Drosophila melanogaster: one gene and its partners. The protein of the gene in region 2 interacts with the protein of the main gene of each other region in a pairwise test. Each region holds a gene or a part of one and is shown on either strand. Other genes may lie near its edges.

Evidence for each region.
Region 1: the proteins of Hesr (region 2) and CG17190 interact in a two-hybrid assay, tested with the Drosophila melanogaster proteins (one large-scale study listed by BioGRID).
Region 3: the proteins of Hesr (region 2) and skl interact in a two-hybrid assay, tested with the Drosophila melanogaster proteins (one large-scale study listed by BioGRID).

What each region holds. Positions count from the first base shown.
Region 1 is NT_033777.3:20,010,702-20,016,004, reverse strand, and holds CG17190 (uncharacterized protein), read left to right. Parts: upstream 1-2,500; 5' UTR 2,501-2,554; coding exon 2,555-2,614; intron 2,615-3,411; coding exon 3,412-4,125; 3' UTR 4,126-4,229; downstream 4,230-5,303. Other genes in the region: CG4836 (uncharacterized protein), read right to left, coding at 1-1,774; MED25 (mediator complex subunit 25), read right to left, coding at 4,354-5,303.
Region 2 is NC_004354.4:18,203,580-18,207,599, reverse strand, and holds Hesr (HES-related), read left to right. Parts: upstream 1-2,455; 5' UTR 2,456-2,479; coding exon 2,480-2,641; intron 2,642-2,769; coding exon 2,770-3,057; 3' UTR 3,058-3,197; downstream 3,198-4,020.
Region 3 is NT_037436.4:18,437,487-18,442,386, forward strand, and holds skl (sickle), read right to left. Parts: upstream 2,457-4,900; 5' UTR 2,342-2,456; coding exon 2,015-2,341; 3' UTR 1,075-2,014; downstream 1-1,074.

The DNA.
Region 1 (5,303 bases), on a different chromosome or scaffold from region 2:
CCTTCTTCTTCTTGGCACAGGGATCTGCCTTCTTTTTGGCACAGGGATCTGCCTTCTTCTTGGCACAGGGATCCTTTTTCTTGGCGCACGGATCCTTCTTCTCGCCAGACTTGAACTTAGCACAAGGGTCCTTTTTCTTAGTGTCCTTCTTGCCACACGGATCCTTCTTCTTATCCTTGCCGCAAGCACTCTTTCCGCCGCCCTTTCCCTTGCACGTGATCTCAGTGGTCTTCAACGCCTTCTTTTTGGGTGCCTTCTTCTTTGCAGGCCGCTCGCAGGGATCCTCCTTGCAGGGATCTGTGATTAGAGGACACTTTCCAGGACATTTGCGCTTGGGTTTCACGGGCGGATGCTTGCAGCCGTCTTTGTCCACCGGAACTGGCACCTCTTGCTCCTGAATGCCGGGCATGGCACACGCTTCCTCGGCTATCTTCTGCAGGGATTCCCGCACTTGACCAACTTGATTAGCCGCCGACATATGGGAAGTATCGATGATCCTATTAGGAATAGTCTCCTCATCCTTGGTCAGTTCCAGGTCCGCGATGTAGGTATCTGAGGATTTTCCTGCGAAACCTTTCTCCAAGGCGGTACTGCAAAGGTTGGCAGCCAGCGAGGTGAGGTCATCGTTGAAGCCGGGCATTTTGTCCTCCGTTATCTGGGCGGGGCTCAACTTCTGGGTATCGATCTCCACTACGCCCGAGATCAAGGCGTTGAACCTAAGCGGCAGCGTTTTCTCCACAGTGCCAGGCGCATCCAATTCCACCTTTGTGTGCATACAGATCATGGGATCCTGTGGAGTTACTGCATTCTTGTCCTTGCTTTCCAGAGCCTGCCGCAGATTGGTCATATCCATTTCGAAGGACAGCTCCATCGACGAAACGGCCATATCGTTGAGGCGATTGCTCAAATCCTGCGGCACATCCACTCGCACCTCCTCGACGAAGTCGCTCTCTTGGTTGGCGAGCTCTTGGAGATTAGATGCCTTGGTTGAGCCATGGATGGGTTCCGTCTGGGCCATGGCCGACATGGATTTGGTGGTTTTCAGAGCAGAGTTGATAGCTGAGTTACCCACAGCGTTTTGCAGGCAACTATTGACTGCCGTCTGGCGTTGCATTGGCATGTTGGCACCCTGACCCGCATCCAGTGCGGTTCCCACAGCGTCCGCCGTTGGCGTGGATGGGAAGGCCTCCCAAAATTTGCGGTCCTCGGCACTCGCCCCGGCCTTGACTTCTTGGGGCTGACCGCCCGATTCCACTTCCTGCAGGGCCTCGTTCAAGGCACCGTATTCCTCGACCATGCTGTTGGAGAAGGTCTCGATGTGGTTGGCGTACAAGCGCAACTTGTTGATGGTTTCCAGCGTGTCCTTGAGTTCGTTGCCATCCATGCCAGACAGATCCAAGGGCACAATGACTATCTTCAGATCCTTGCCATCACCCGTTTCCGGTGTAATCAGTCCAATGGGCATGATCTTGGGCGCATTGCTCGAGTTGCCGGAAAAGCTAATCCGTTTGCGCAGCATATCCACGTTATCGCTGACCGAGAACACATTGCTACCCTTTTGGGAGTACCTCTGCACCCGGACGCGACACGGATGATTCGTCCTCCGGCTAGACTTTGATCCGGAGGAGGCACTGGTGCATAGTTGCCTCAACCGTTCTGCATGGAGTAGGCTGCGCGGTCGGTATAGCGGAGCATGGTAGCTAACGCATCTAGATATCTGGAGGAGATTAAGTCCGAGACGGTTAGTCGGGAACTTCCCGAATATGCCTGGCATTTTTTCTTTTTATGTACAAATTTTTGACTTGATTCAGGAATACATAAGTTAACACACGGTAGAATTTCAGTTTTGAGAAAGGAAAGAAACCAAAATGTTGTGTAGTGTAAGACGTAGCAAGGAAAAATGGTGTAAAAGCTAACCAAATGTCTAACGTAAAAGTAAAGGGCCTACTGATTTTAGGTTTTAGCCTTAATTCAAATGTACTGTACCTGTAAAATGTTGGTTACTCTGCCAAATAAGCGCATACTACTTAATTTTTCACTTGTGCTGAAAGGCCAAAAACTAAAAACTTTGAATTTTGAATTTTGGTGGAATTTTTTTTGTAGGTTTACAAAAGGTTGTGTACTAGCACTGGGCTATGTTTTCAGACTGGGCCAGTAAGCCAAACGAGATTATGAACTAAAATTCGCTAGCCTACTGCTTTCCCGAAATTTCTATAAGATTCCACAATCGATTCGTTTGGCAAGTCCTTGAAAATAAGGAAGATTACTGCAACCTATTTGCTGCAGATATAATCCCATAAATGCTGTCACTCCAAAAACTCGAAGAACCGACTTTTTTGGGGGCCTCTAAATGCATTTTGAATTAAATTTAGGTACCACAATTGCCCCTACCGTTGCTGCATATTAATTGATTCACTAGTCACCTGGTCACCCACTCAATCAATTGGTGCCTCAGTTCGATTTCTGATTTTGCTGGCAGCGGTTTCAGTTTCTGTTTCGGTTCGGTTTTAGTTTCGATTTCTAGCCAAGAGCTAGATCCGTGATTCCATTGACAATGTTGCGATTGGCCAGCTCCACACTTAGTAGTTCCATATGTCTTATTGTGTTTTTTAATGTAAGCAAACACTTGGCATTGCCGATAATTAGGGAACTTGGCGATGTCTAAATTCATAATGTGGGTTTTTTTTAAACAAATAAGTGACTCATGAGCTAACTATTCAAGAAAATGGTGTAGGTCATGAATAGAGTATAGAGTTTGGTTGCACATTAGGGATCACCTTCGTATACAAGGTATAACCACACAAAGCTTTGCTTAAAACTTTAAACTATAATCTCTGGCTATTAGTAAGAATATAATCAGACCCTCTTCCGATCGGACCCTATGACTTTTTGAAGCAACCACCATACACCCAGAAAAATTAAGAACGTCACTCAGTGGCATTTATCATAAATCATGAGAAGATTTCTTCTTGATTTCGAGACGAAAACGATCTCAATTTTAATATTTTCAGAGGGAAGAAGTATCAGGTTTATGATTGTGTAAAAGGAACGTAATGGAAAGACTGACAAAATGAGAGCAAAGTCAATTGTAATCTAAGAATGGATCGATCTCTATCGAAGCATAATTCAATCTTGGCAGAATTTTGAGATCAAAATTTTCAAATCGAGATCTTTGAGAACGGTTTTTTCTCTAAGTGTATAGATGGGCACATATCATAACTTAGAAACCTCATCTTTGATTTGTAAAGCAGCCATATCTTATTCAACCAAATTCAAGGTCCAGTGACGCGTGCGCGTTGGGATTTGAATATAGAAAGCCTTATTACCGGTCATACTCAATATTCATTAACGTACGTGCAGCCGGTCATTAAGCGCCAATTATAGATTCCATTTCTCCGAATGTATCTGCAGTTTTTGTGGCTGCTACTGCTGACGACGACGACGACGACGACGTCCGCCAAGCCCACCAACTCCAGTGATTCTGGCACCAAGAATGGAATGCTGCATGTGACCAGCTTTGTGAACCAGAAGCCCAAGTCGGGAGTACGTGAAGAGTTCGATTTCGAGCAGAATGAGGCGGAGGCCACCAACTCGGCGCATCTGCAACAGCTCTTCGGCAGTTTGTTGCAACTGCCTGGTAAGGGAAACATGAGTCTGGAGCTGTCCCTGGAGACGGACGACGATCCGGTCAGCGAGCGAAACCAGCTGGATGATGAGATGAAGGCCACTGGCGAGCAGCATGAGGGCTTCACCGAAACTGCGGATGCATGGCATCGCATTAAGCTAAATATTCCGGTCCTGGAGCCGGTGAAGCACCTGATAAACACAGTTGGCGGTGGCGGCGTGAACGACTCCCATGTGAAGAGCAATACTCATCGGCTGATTGGACACCATGGCGTCCACGAAACTCACCACAATGGCGGGAACATCAGCTCCCCGGCCATCGAAACGGAGGAGGATCGGGAGACAGCCATCGACAGCACCGGATTCGATGTTCTGGAAACGTTGGGCAGCGCGGGAACGGTTCTGTTCAGCATCTTGCAGAATCTTCGCAAGGTGTTTGCCGCTAGCGCTGGAAGTGCAAGTTCCGCATCCTCGGGGGGCGGCGGCGGTGGAGCAAACTAGTGGACTTTCTCGGAGATTATGTTCTGTGATTAATATAAGTCTTGTGCAAATTCGGATTTCCCTTGATTCTTACTAATTAAATAAACGAAATGTTATGAAAATGGAGAAATTAATATTTCGATTTTGGGAAATAGATTTTGCCACTACCCCAAAAAAGACTTGCAGTTGGATTTTATAAAATATTTTACTGTCTTAATTCTGGTTTTTTATACGATACTCTTAAGTAGCCTACATGAACTCATAGTTTCCGTCGTCAAAGTTGCGATTGCCGACCATTGGACCGCCTGCTCCCATTTGATTGGGATTCTGGCCACCCATTTGCGGCCGGAACTGATTGCCTGGCGTGGTCTGGTGCTGCAAGAGCTGGCGCAGCCCCGGGTTGTTGTTGCTCATCATGGGACGCACCATGCGCTGCTGCTGCTGTTGCGCCTGCTGCTGCTGCATTGCGGCGACGTTTGGCGCCACTTGTTGCAACTGCTGCTGGAGGTTTGGATTGGGCACGCCACCGGGACCAACACCCACGCCAACACCTACGCCCAGTGGCATTCGCTGTTGCTGCATCATGTTCATCTGCATTTGATTCTGTTGCATGGGCATGCCGCCGGGACCGGGACCAGGTCCGCCGCCAGGACCTCCACCACCCATCTGCATATTGAGTTGGAACTGGTTGTAGTGTTGCTGCTGCGAGTTATCCTGTTGCATCTGTTGCTGCTGTTGTTGTTGTTGCTGTTGCTGCTGCAGCTCCATGGGCGACTTGCCTTGCTGCTGCATCATTTGCTGCTGTTGCTGCTGCTGTTGCATGTTGCCGTGCTGCTTTTGCTGTATGACTTTGCGCAGACGTTCCACAAACATTGCCTGATTATTGGGAATGAAGCCCAGAAAAGCGTTGCGATCGGGCGTGTAGAGTAGGATGAGAACCTTAAGGTCACAGGCTGGTGAGTTGGGGATGGAGGAGAAGTGGACGCAGCCAGCATAGCCGGAGGTCATCATCTTGGCCAGCGAATCGAGTGCCTCTCCTGGAGTGGGTCGAAAAACAACCATTTTCGAGTCCTTGAGAAACTGCCCACCAATATTGCCAACTAGGTGCTTGGGCATTAGCTGCATCAACAGCTTGGGCGGCCAGTTCTCAGCCTTGATCTCGGGCTCGCCATCTTTGATGTTGGTGCACACGGTACACT
Region 2 (4,020 bases):
CACATAGAGCTAAATATTATTTTATTTATATTATTTATTTACAGTCTTTTGCCCACTGTACCTCCGAAGATCCCTTTTTGAGCGCCTGACTTGCGCGTGTGCGACTTCCCTGCTCTTTAAGTGCGCATGTTCTTGAATTTCAGATGAATATATGTTCGTAAGTCCCATTAGCTGAGGATTGCGGACTAAAACGTCTGTTACAAATGTAATTTCGATATCCCAGTTCCACTCGGGAAAGAAATTGAAGCCCTTCACTTGACTCAGATCGCTGGGCTTCACTTGCCCGCTTATCTGTCGTCTGGGCTGCGGGGACAACCCTTGGAGTGACAATTAGCTGTTGGCCTGGGAAAACATTTCCCACAACTCGGTTCGATTGGGGGAGCCCACATACGTGATATGGTAGAGGGATCTTTCATAGAAGCGAAGCCAACAAGTGCAGGTCCCCGAGAGGGTAATAAAAATATGTCTCCCTATCGCTTCGCTTGTCCCGGGCTAATCGATACTCGATACGATCCATAATTTATGTGCTACGCGTCTATTTCTGGACTTCCGACACTCTCCTATCGCTTGAGGTCTTCGAAAGCTGAAAGTTTTGGCTGAAAAAGATCTGGCTCTGGAATCCCAGCCAGCCGTAATCCCTGTGACCCACTGATGCCAACGCATCGTTGGGCGCGAAATGTGGAAGAGTTGTCAATGCCACGCGGTGTGGCCCCCCGAAGAGCGCGCCAATTTTCACCGCCCGACGTCCCACCAACACGCATAATTTCCCACGCTCCCGGCGGGAAGTGTTGGAATGGGCGGGGAATGGGGGTTGCGTAGCAGGGGGATTCACGAGGGGGAAGTCCTGACAAGTTGTCAGCGGGGCTGTTAATGAGCTGCGTGTGTTGAGTGAAAACGTGATGAATCTACACTGCCTCGGCCCACTTGTGCCTGCCCAGAAATGTGTAAGTAATCCCCGAGTTCTCAAAGATCAGCGAAGATCAAAACAAGATCTTAGATTCCAAGTCATGGAACGCTTAGCATAATAGCTCACCTACTTGTGGGAAAACTTTTAGAAGTGCATTTAATCGTTAGAAATGTTTTACAGTCGTATAAGGTAAATTATTCATCCCATTCAATAAAATACATATTTTGCATAAATTATTGCAATTTTATAGTTTTTTTTTTTGGAAGTTATGTCTCCTTAACTACCCACTGTACTAAAGATCTAAGGAAAATTGACTTTATAACAGAGATAGAGAGTATAAGCTATGTTATACCCCCTTATTTAAAGTCCAAGCTCAGATACCCTGCAGTAAGGGTATGCAAAGTATTGCAATTTGCGCACGAGCAGACAGCGACAACTATTTGATGATCTGGGGATCGGAGCAAAGTTCTCTGGCACACAACATGTGTCGACTCCCCTGCCACGCCCACCGGTACCGCCCCCCGGCCCAGTGTGGCGTTTAATAGCTTGCCTCAGCAGCTTGCCGCAATCGCGTGCACCAATGGTAAGTGGGGATCGAGCGTGGGAAACGCGCCCTTGCCGTAATCCCAAAAAAAGGCCATTTGAAAAGCACAAGTCCCTTCGCAGAAATATCAACAAAAACAAGGCAGCAAATCAGATACTTCAGCTGGCGCGGAAGCCATCGCAGAAAACCAAATAAACAGAAGCCTCCAGAAACAGATTCTCATCGGTTTTGACACCAAATGAAGTTGTATAATAGTCGAGTGCACGGGAAAAAATATTCCAGAACGTGAAGAAATATTTTAATTTTATATATCTTGAATAACATAAAGAATGGTGTTGACAAACACCACAGAACATAAGTTTGTAAATTCATACAAGAGAATTCAACTTGTATCTTAACTTGTAAAATTAGCTATACTTTCAAATAAATATTATATCTCCAATCATTTTTTAAAGTGCAAATCAATTTGTGATTGAGATATAGGCATACAGGGATTGTATGGTCCAATATATCTGGTGTCTTCTGGTTTTCTGTGAATTATTTGGAACTTCCCCAATTCGCGTTCCCTTCGAGCAACCAAGTATCCCAGTAACCAGCAACGTTTACTTTTCCGATTCCTAGGAACCCCAAGTAGGTGTCTTTAGGCCGGCGACAACTTTTGCCATCAGCAAATTTTCCTCAATGAAACACGCATCGTCTGCAGTCGACATCGCTGCTTCGGTTGCGTAAGCTGTCAGAAATCTGAGATGGTTAATGCAAGGTAAGTAAAAAAAATAAAATGCGACTGAATAATACCTCGCAGTATTTAGTACTAAAGACCAAAACAATTGTGAAATACGAAAGATGCAAATTGTGCAAAGTAACTGTAAAGAAAACCAAGGGATTCATATATGGGATGAGCCCATATTTCCGTAAAACTAATATGCCCTGAGCCGTGCTACTTAGGGTGTATCTAAGCTGCCGCTGCTGCTCCAATTCCTTGGGCCATTCAGTCGCTTAAGATCCGAAGGTGGAGCTGGGCCAGGCTTATGATGGCACGTCCCGAGGAGCAGAAGTCTCATGTTGGAGCAAAGTCACGATCTCATCAGTATCGAGAGGTTTTTAAGCCAATGATGGAGAGGAAGAGGCGGTCACGCATCAATCGCTGCCTGGACTTTATTAAGGACCTGCTTCAGGAGGTGTCGCATCTGGTGAGTGGTCTCACGTTGACCTCTGACCCATGGTCTTCTTACTCATCTCAGCTCGTAGCAAAATGATTTTGTATATTGTATCTCTTAAAATTGATACAATATAATATGTTTGAAATGTTTGCATACAGGACGGCGAGACCATGGCCAAAATGGATATGGGAGATGTCCTGGAATTGGCAGTTCACCACCTGAGCAAGAAAAACTGTCCGGTGGCCACGCCCACCACAGCGCCTACATCCGGAGTATATCAGAGCCCAATTGATTGCTATTGGAGTGGCTTTCGAGAATGCGTCCTGGAAGTGTCCCAATTTCTGCAACACAACGGCTATCAGCCGAGTTTCGAATTTGCGAAAGAATTGGATCATCTTGTGGCCTCCACATCCAAATCCAAGCCAAATCTCTGGAGGCCCTGGTAGTCGTCATGGGAAATATCCACTTAAGTTCCTCAACTCACAATTTTTAAATAGGATAATTATAAACTATTTAGACCCAAGTCCACTAAAGACAGTTTTACAATAGAGGCATGAAATAAAACTGCACATTCGTTTTTTGCTTTAAGTTTATCTTTTTCTTTTCGCAATAATTCCAAAAACTTGTTAGGTATGTGGTTTGTGTGTAGAATGTAGAATGTGTGTAGTGTAAGAATGAGTTTCCATTGGGGGTTTAAGTTTAGAATCGTTTTAATTGTTAATAAACATTGCTTAATGCATTCGAATGCTAAATTAAGTATTGCTTATGTTGAATATAATGCACACAAAGTAAGATTTTCATCTGCTGCTATCAGTATCGTTAACGTTATATCAATGTAGTAGCTTACTAGATACCCAAAAAAAAAATACATATCAATAGAGTAGTCGAGAAAAGGTGTTCTTTGAGATTATCCTTAAGCTTATTGGCTTTTTGTTTAGCAAATACGTGTGAGTGAGCATGGGATTTTCTTACAGTCTATGCTGAATTTTTTTGTCGGGACCCTCAAACTTTCCGCCTTTGTATGTACAATACGAGTATATGTATGTAGTTCACAATAATTTCGAGTTTGAGTGTAAGAAGCGCGAAAATTGATTGTTGCTGCAGTTTGTTTTAGTTTGGTTTTCCATCGACCTGCTGATTTGTATCTGTTGCATATATGTATAGGTATACTCAAAGTTTCGTATATTTAGATATCGATATCTTCTCAGCTTCGCTTGATTTACTCAGTTTTTATTTCACTTTTTTTTTTTTGAGGACAGGAAGGCATGCAATTTTGTGCAGTGTAGGTGTGAGTGTCTTCTTAAATTCAAATCGTTTCCAACAATAAATCTATGCAAAAACAATTTGCAAATTGCACAAGTAAAATACAAATGGGGACTTCTATATAATAATAGATGTATATATAATTA
Region 3 (4,900 bases), on a different chromosome or scaffold from region 2:
AAACTGTTTGTTTACGGGGGTCACTTTACCATTCCTAACTCCACCCCATAGAAATCCCAGCTGGACGCACGCAAAACACACATGCACTTGAGCCTTTCACCGCTTTCTCCCGGAGAAAGGGTTGCCAAAGGATGAAGGATACGATATCATGTGTGGACGCTCGAGCAAACAAAAGTGCAAATTCCCGGGGGGACATTTGATTGAATTCAGACAGTTAACCGTCCTCATAATGCGCATTTTCAAAAAAAAGAAGGAAATCCTTTGGCTTCTGCTTATCTGCCTGGAAGAAAAATATCAAAAAATTTTAAAATCATCTTCAGGGGCTGGGGAACAGTTTATTTGGCAAATGGTATTTGTTCTTTGCCAGTTCTTGCCTTGATTGATATTATTATGGATCCGTCCGTTCATTGATTGATGGTGGACGGCGCTTAAAAGAATCTTCTATTTGGATTTTGGAAAATTAAAAAGCGGCTTAGCATCAGCATCCTTTTCCCCGTATTATTCGCCATACAAAGCGTATTAAAAATGGAAAGTTGAAAGATTTCAGTAGTCTCTTTTTTTCAAGCCTCGCCCAAAGGCAGATTTTAAAATCAGTCGGGTGGCGCCACGCGACATTTTTTAGCATCGATTGTATGAGTCCGGAAAACCGGAATGAGAGAATTTCAGGAATTATTCAGTGTCGTTTGTGTGAGAAAACGACTTTGATCTCTGCCGCCGGTAACCATTTCAATCTGTTTGGTTGAGGGGTAAAAGTGGCACTCATTTCAAGGTGGCAAAGTATTATCAACGATGATTAGGTCTATTATGACTAGCAACGGAGCGAAAGTTCTGGGTAAATTAGCAAGTACTATACATTTCACTGTAAATGATTTTACATTTACACTTAACATTTCGTTGTCTTGTTTTTCGCTGTGTTAGGCTCCATTTGTTATAAAAATTATATATGAATTAAACTCTAGACGATAAAATGTAATATTCTTTGGGTTTGTTTTGCTAAACCACAAACAGACCAAAATCTGAAAATAAACGTTTTTGAATTGTTCATCCCATCACTAGTTAAAAATGCGTATTTTTCCATTCAATAATATTTTTATTTCATGCCATTTGCTTTACTTAGCTTAAGTTACATTAAATTGCTTAAAAGAATGTGTAGTTTGGAGTATTTATGTGTGTAAATATTTCTACTTTTGAACTTGTACTATGTTTATGCTCGTTACGCGAAGAACGCCTTTTCATCGATTTATTTCGCATGGAATCTTAGCCACATATTGCTTATAAGAATAGATCTATAAACTAGATTGACACGTACACAGCTTATATATCGACGGCAAAGTAAATATAAAAATATGTTTCAATTTTAAAAAATATATTTCCATATATATTTGCTAAGTTTAAGAAGCACTCTACCTAGGAAGTTGAATCATTTAAATTTCCCCATAAATAGACACCAAGAGAGTTGTTGGTAAAAAAGTTGTAACTATTTGTAGTTATAGCATGTAGAATAGTTTGACTTATCAACTAAGTTGGTTTCGATTTGAAAACTAGCGACTGCTTACAAAATTTTGCTTTTATCTCTTGAGACAATTTTCCAATATATGAATGTTTGGATTTTTCGTTCACTTATTCTTGCACTGGGCCGACCACCTACGAGAATCTAACTTATTCAGTTAAACAAGTAAAACTAACTTAAATAAGTTTACTAAACAAATACTTGGACTGTAAATTTTTTTAGCAAAATTATTTATCACATTTGCGCTTATCCAAAGTTTTAAAATTTTGTTGTATCCCGACGGATAAGAAACTATGTGCTTAATTTCCAGCAAAGAAAATACATGTATCAAAAGTTAATCTTGTTTTAGGGTTTTCCTTGGGAAATTGATTCACATTTCTCTGTCACTGTCTCGCTCATTCTCTCTCGAAATTTTCGGGCTGCGCTAGTTCTCACCAACGTAAAGTAATCACAAGTTGCGCTTTTAGGAGCCTTAGTTGGTGCTTAAGTTGGTTTTCGAAATTTTTACTGCGCCTGCGGTTGTATTTGAACGGTGGCCTTTAGTTTGCTGGATTTTCCGGACGACTTGTGCTGTTGGTAAAATTGCTTCAGGACCTTGCACATGGTGATGGCCAGGAATTTCCAGGCCAGCAGTTGCTCCTCGGCACTCGGAGGCGCAACTGGCTCACTTGTTGCTCCTGGTGGCGGGAGTTCCTCTGCTGCAGACGGAGGTCCTTCAAAGTCCACTTGATCATGTCCGGGGTCTATGGAGAAAGCCATGGGGCTATCGACTTGATCGCCACTGGGTTCCGATTTCGGGGCGTGCTCTTCTTCGAAAAATGGAATGGCCATATTTGAGTCGCTCAAAATGTTACGTAAAAATGGCACTTGTTAACTTCGATGTGTGGCAAGGTATTTCCTGATTTTCCAGATCTGAACTCTTGGCGAGTTGTCGTACGACTGAAGAGCTCAGCCAGCAGGACGCCCGTATTTATACCCGGGAAACGGCGGGAGAATTAGCTACCCTCTGTGCCCGCTTTCTCTTTACCATCTTCCCTCCCTTTTTTCCTACCTCTCTCTTTCTCTCTTTCTCTCTCTCTCTCTGTCGCCCTCTCTGTGATGACAATATCAACTTTCATCACGTGCAGTAAACGTTTCCTCAAACAAAATGCAGAGAGCGTCACACTTGTGGCATGTTACATACGTTTTACCATTACGTTACTTACCCCGCCGTTACGTTTGAAGCTCGAATTTATATGGGGTGGTTTTCCTACGTTTTTCGAACCAGGACAGGAAAGTTTTCGAAAATGAAACAAAACAAATTTAAGGGGAAAGAATTTATTTTTAGGAAGTCGAGCTAGAAGTACCTAAGATAAATTATTTTCATTAAAGCTAATTTTATAACAAAGAAATGGTAGAATGATATATATTTCTTTTTAAAGCTAACATATGCAAATTTTAAATTTCTGAATTTTCGAACAGCAAAGGGGAAGTAGTCGAATGGCTTATACAAAAATTCGATGTGAGATTTTGCTTTGCTTTGCCTTTTCTTCACTTTTCTTGCCTTGGCTTAGACGTGACCTTGACCAATTTCCTGTTTGGCTTATTTTTCCTGTTTTTTTTGCGTTTCTTTGCCAAGAGTTTTAATTGTTGATACAAATTAAATATAGAAAATTTTTTCCAACTTAGTAAGCATTTATAAAATATGACAATAAAATTGTAACATTTACATCCAAGCTTTGCAAGAATTCGTACTATATAAGTACTAAACAAGACTTAAAATTCCTCACCCGACTATTCTTGTACTTGAAGAAAATCAATTTACCATCCTACAACTCCCTATGACCGCAAGAACAATCGGTTAACATTTTGTGAACCGCATGCCAGGAATTTTTATAGAGTAAAGGAGTGTCTGTTGAATCCTTTTTACCCTCCGACAAATCAATTCCACAAATCAACATAATCAACTTCTCGCCGTAAGTCCAAAATATAATGCACTCGCCGTCAAAAAACTTCTTTTGTTACCCACAGAATAAAATGGGTTTGGAGCAGTGCTGAATAAGAGAGAAAGCTGAAATAAGTGCCGTAAAAAATGTAAAAACTTTTTTATAGTTGCTGCATAAAAAACGTAAAATAAAAACCCAACCGAAGAAATCTACGAAAGAATGCATAACAAAAGAAAATCACCTTCGTGGGCGTGCAGGTGAGTGGGCGGGGTACCAAAAATGATATCCCCGCGATGATAACCCCGAGAAATCAGAGGAAAAATCCATGATCTAATTTGCTAAACACTCGAGCAAAATCAGCGGGGCTCGCCAAATCACTTACATATACTCGTGTACCTGCAAAACTCACTCACATTCTCAAAGGCAAAACAAAGAAAAGAATTGTTTTCGCTTAAAAGAACATTCAAATGGAAATGTTCTGCTTGGCTCAACACAAACAACAAGTGCAGGCGCACACACAAACTGCATTTATTTAGTTAGCAAACAAAATAGAAAAAAAAAGTGAAAAGGAGCAAAGTGGGATCCAAGGGAAGAAACGCATCGCATCGAAAGAGTGGCATTTGAGTACCCCAGACAGTCAGACAATGCATATATATGTATGTACCACCCATATCTATAGGTATACGTATAAAACTGAAGTGCGGCGGGGCATGTGCAGCACACGAACAACGAAAAAGACGGCAGGAAAAAATTACAAGGAAGCAGCACCCAGAAGAGCGAGTTTCAAGACGAGAGTGATGAAAGGATACCCTATTCTTAAGGATAATAATTATGAAGGAATGCCTTAATATGCTTACTCTAGATTATCCTTATCAATACAGTTTAGCTACTATCAAGAGTTCGCTCTAATTGGTAAATGGATAAAAACAAATGGTATATTTGGCAAACACAATATATTGTATTAATTAAAAAGAAATGGCATGGAAATAAGTATCGTTTGAAAATCGCAAATCAAAGATTTGATAGAATTTGTTGATTTTGAAATAATATCCAATTTAAATGTAGTTGTTGAAAATTAAATTTTCTTCGTTCTTTGATTTATTTTGAATTGAAAATGTTGTTAAAGCATTAAATATTCTTAACTTCGATGACAAGGTCACGTACACACATTCGTGTATGTACTCACTGGAAGTGAGTCTCAGTTTTTCCATTTTCGGATTAATTTCCCAAAGTCTCTGCATTGTATCCAACGTATTGCCAATCGGTAGCAGCCATTATAGGGTATTTACCTTTCCAGAACGGATACAACAGAAATTGCAGCATAAAACGTTGCATCGTTCTCATCACAGGGGCACTTTGTTGCCTTCTGTGTGTGTGTTTGGCTGTCAGATTGATATTAAATTATATACCTTATTATCATTGCAGTGTTTGTTTTTGTTTTTTTTTTGTTTGCCAGCCATGTCAG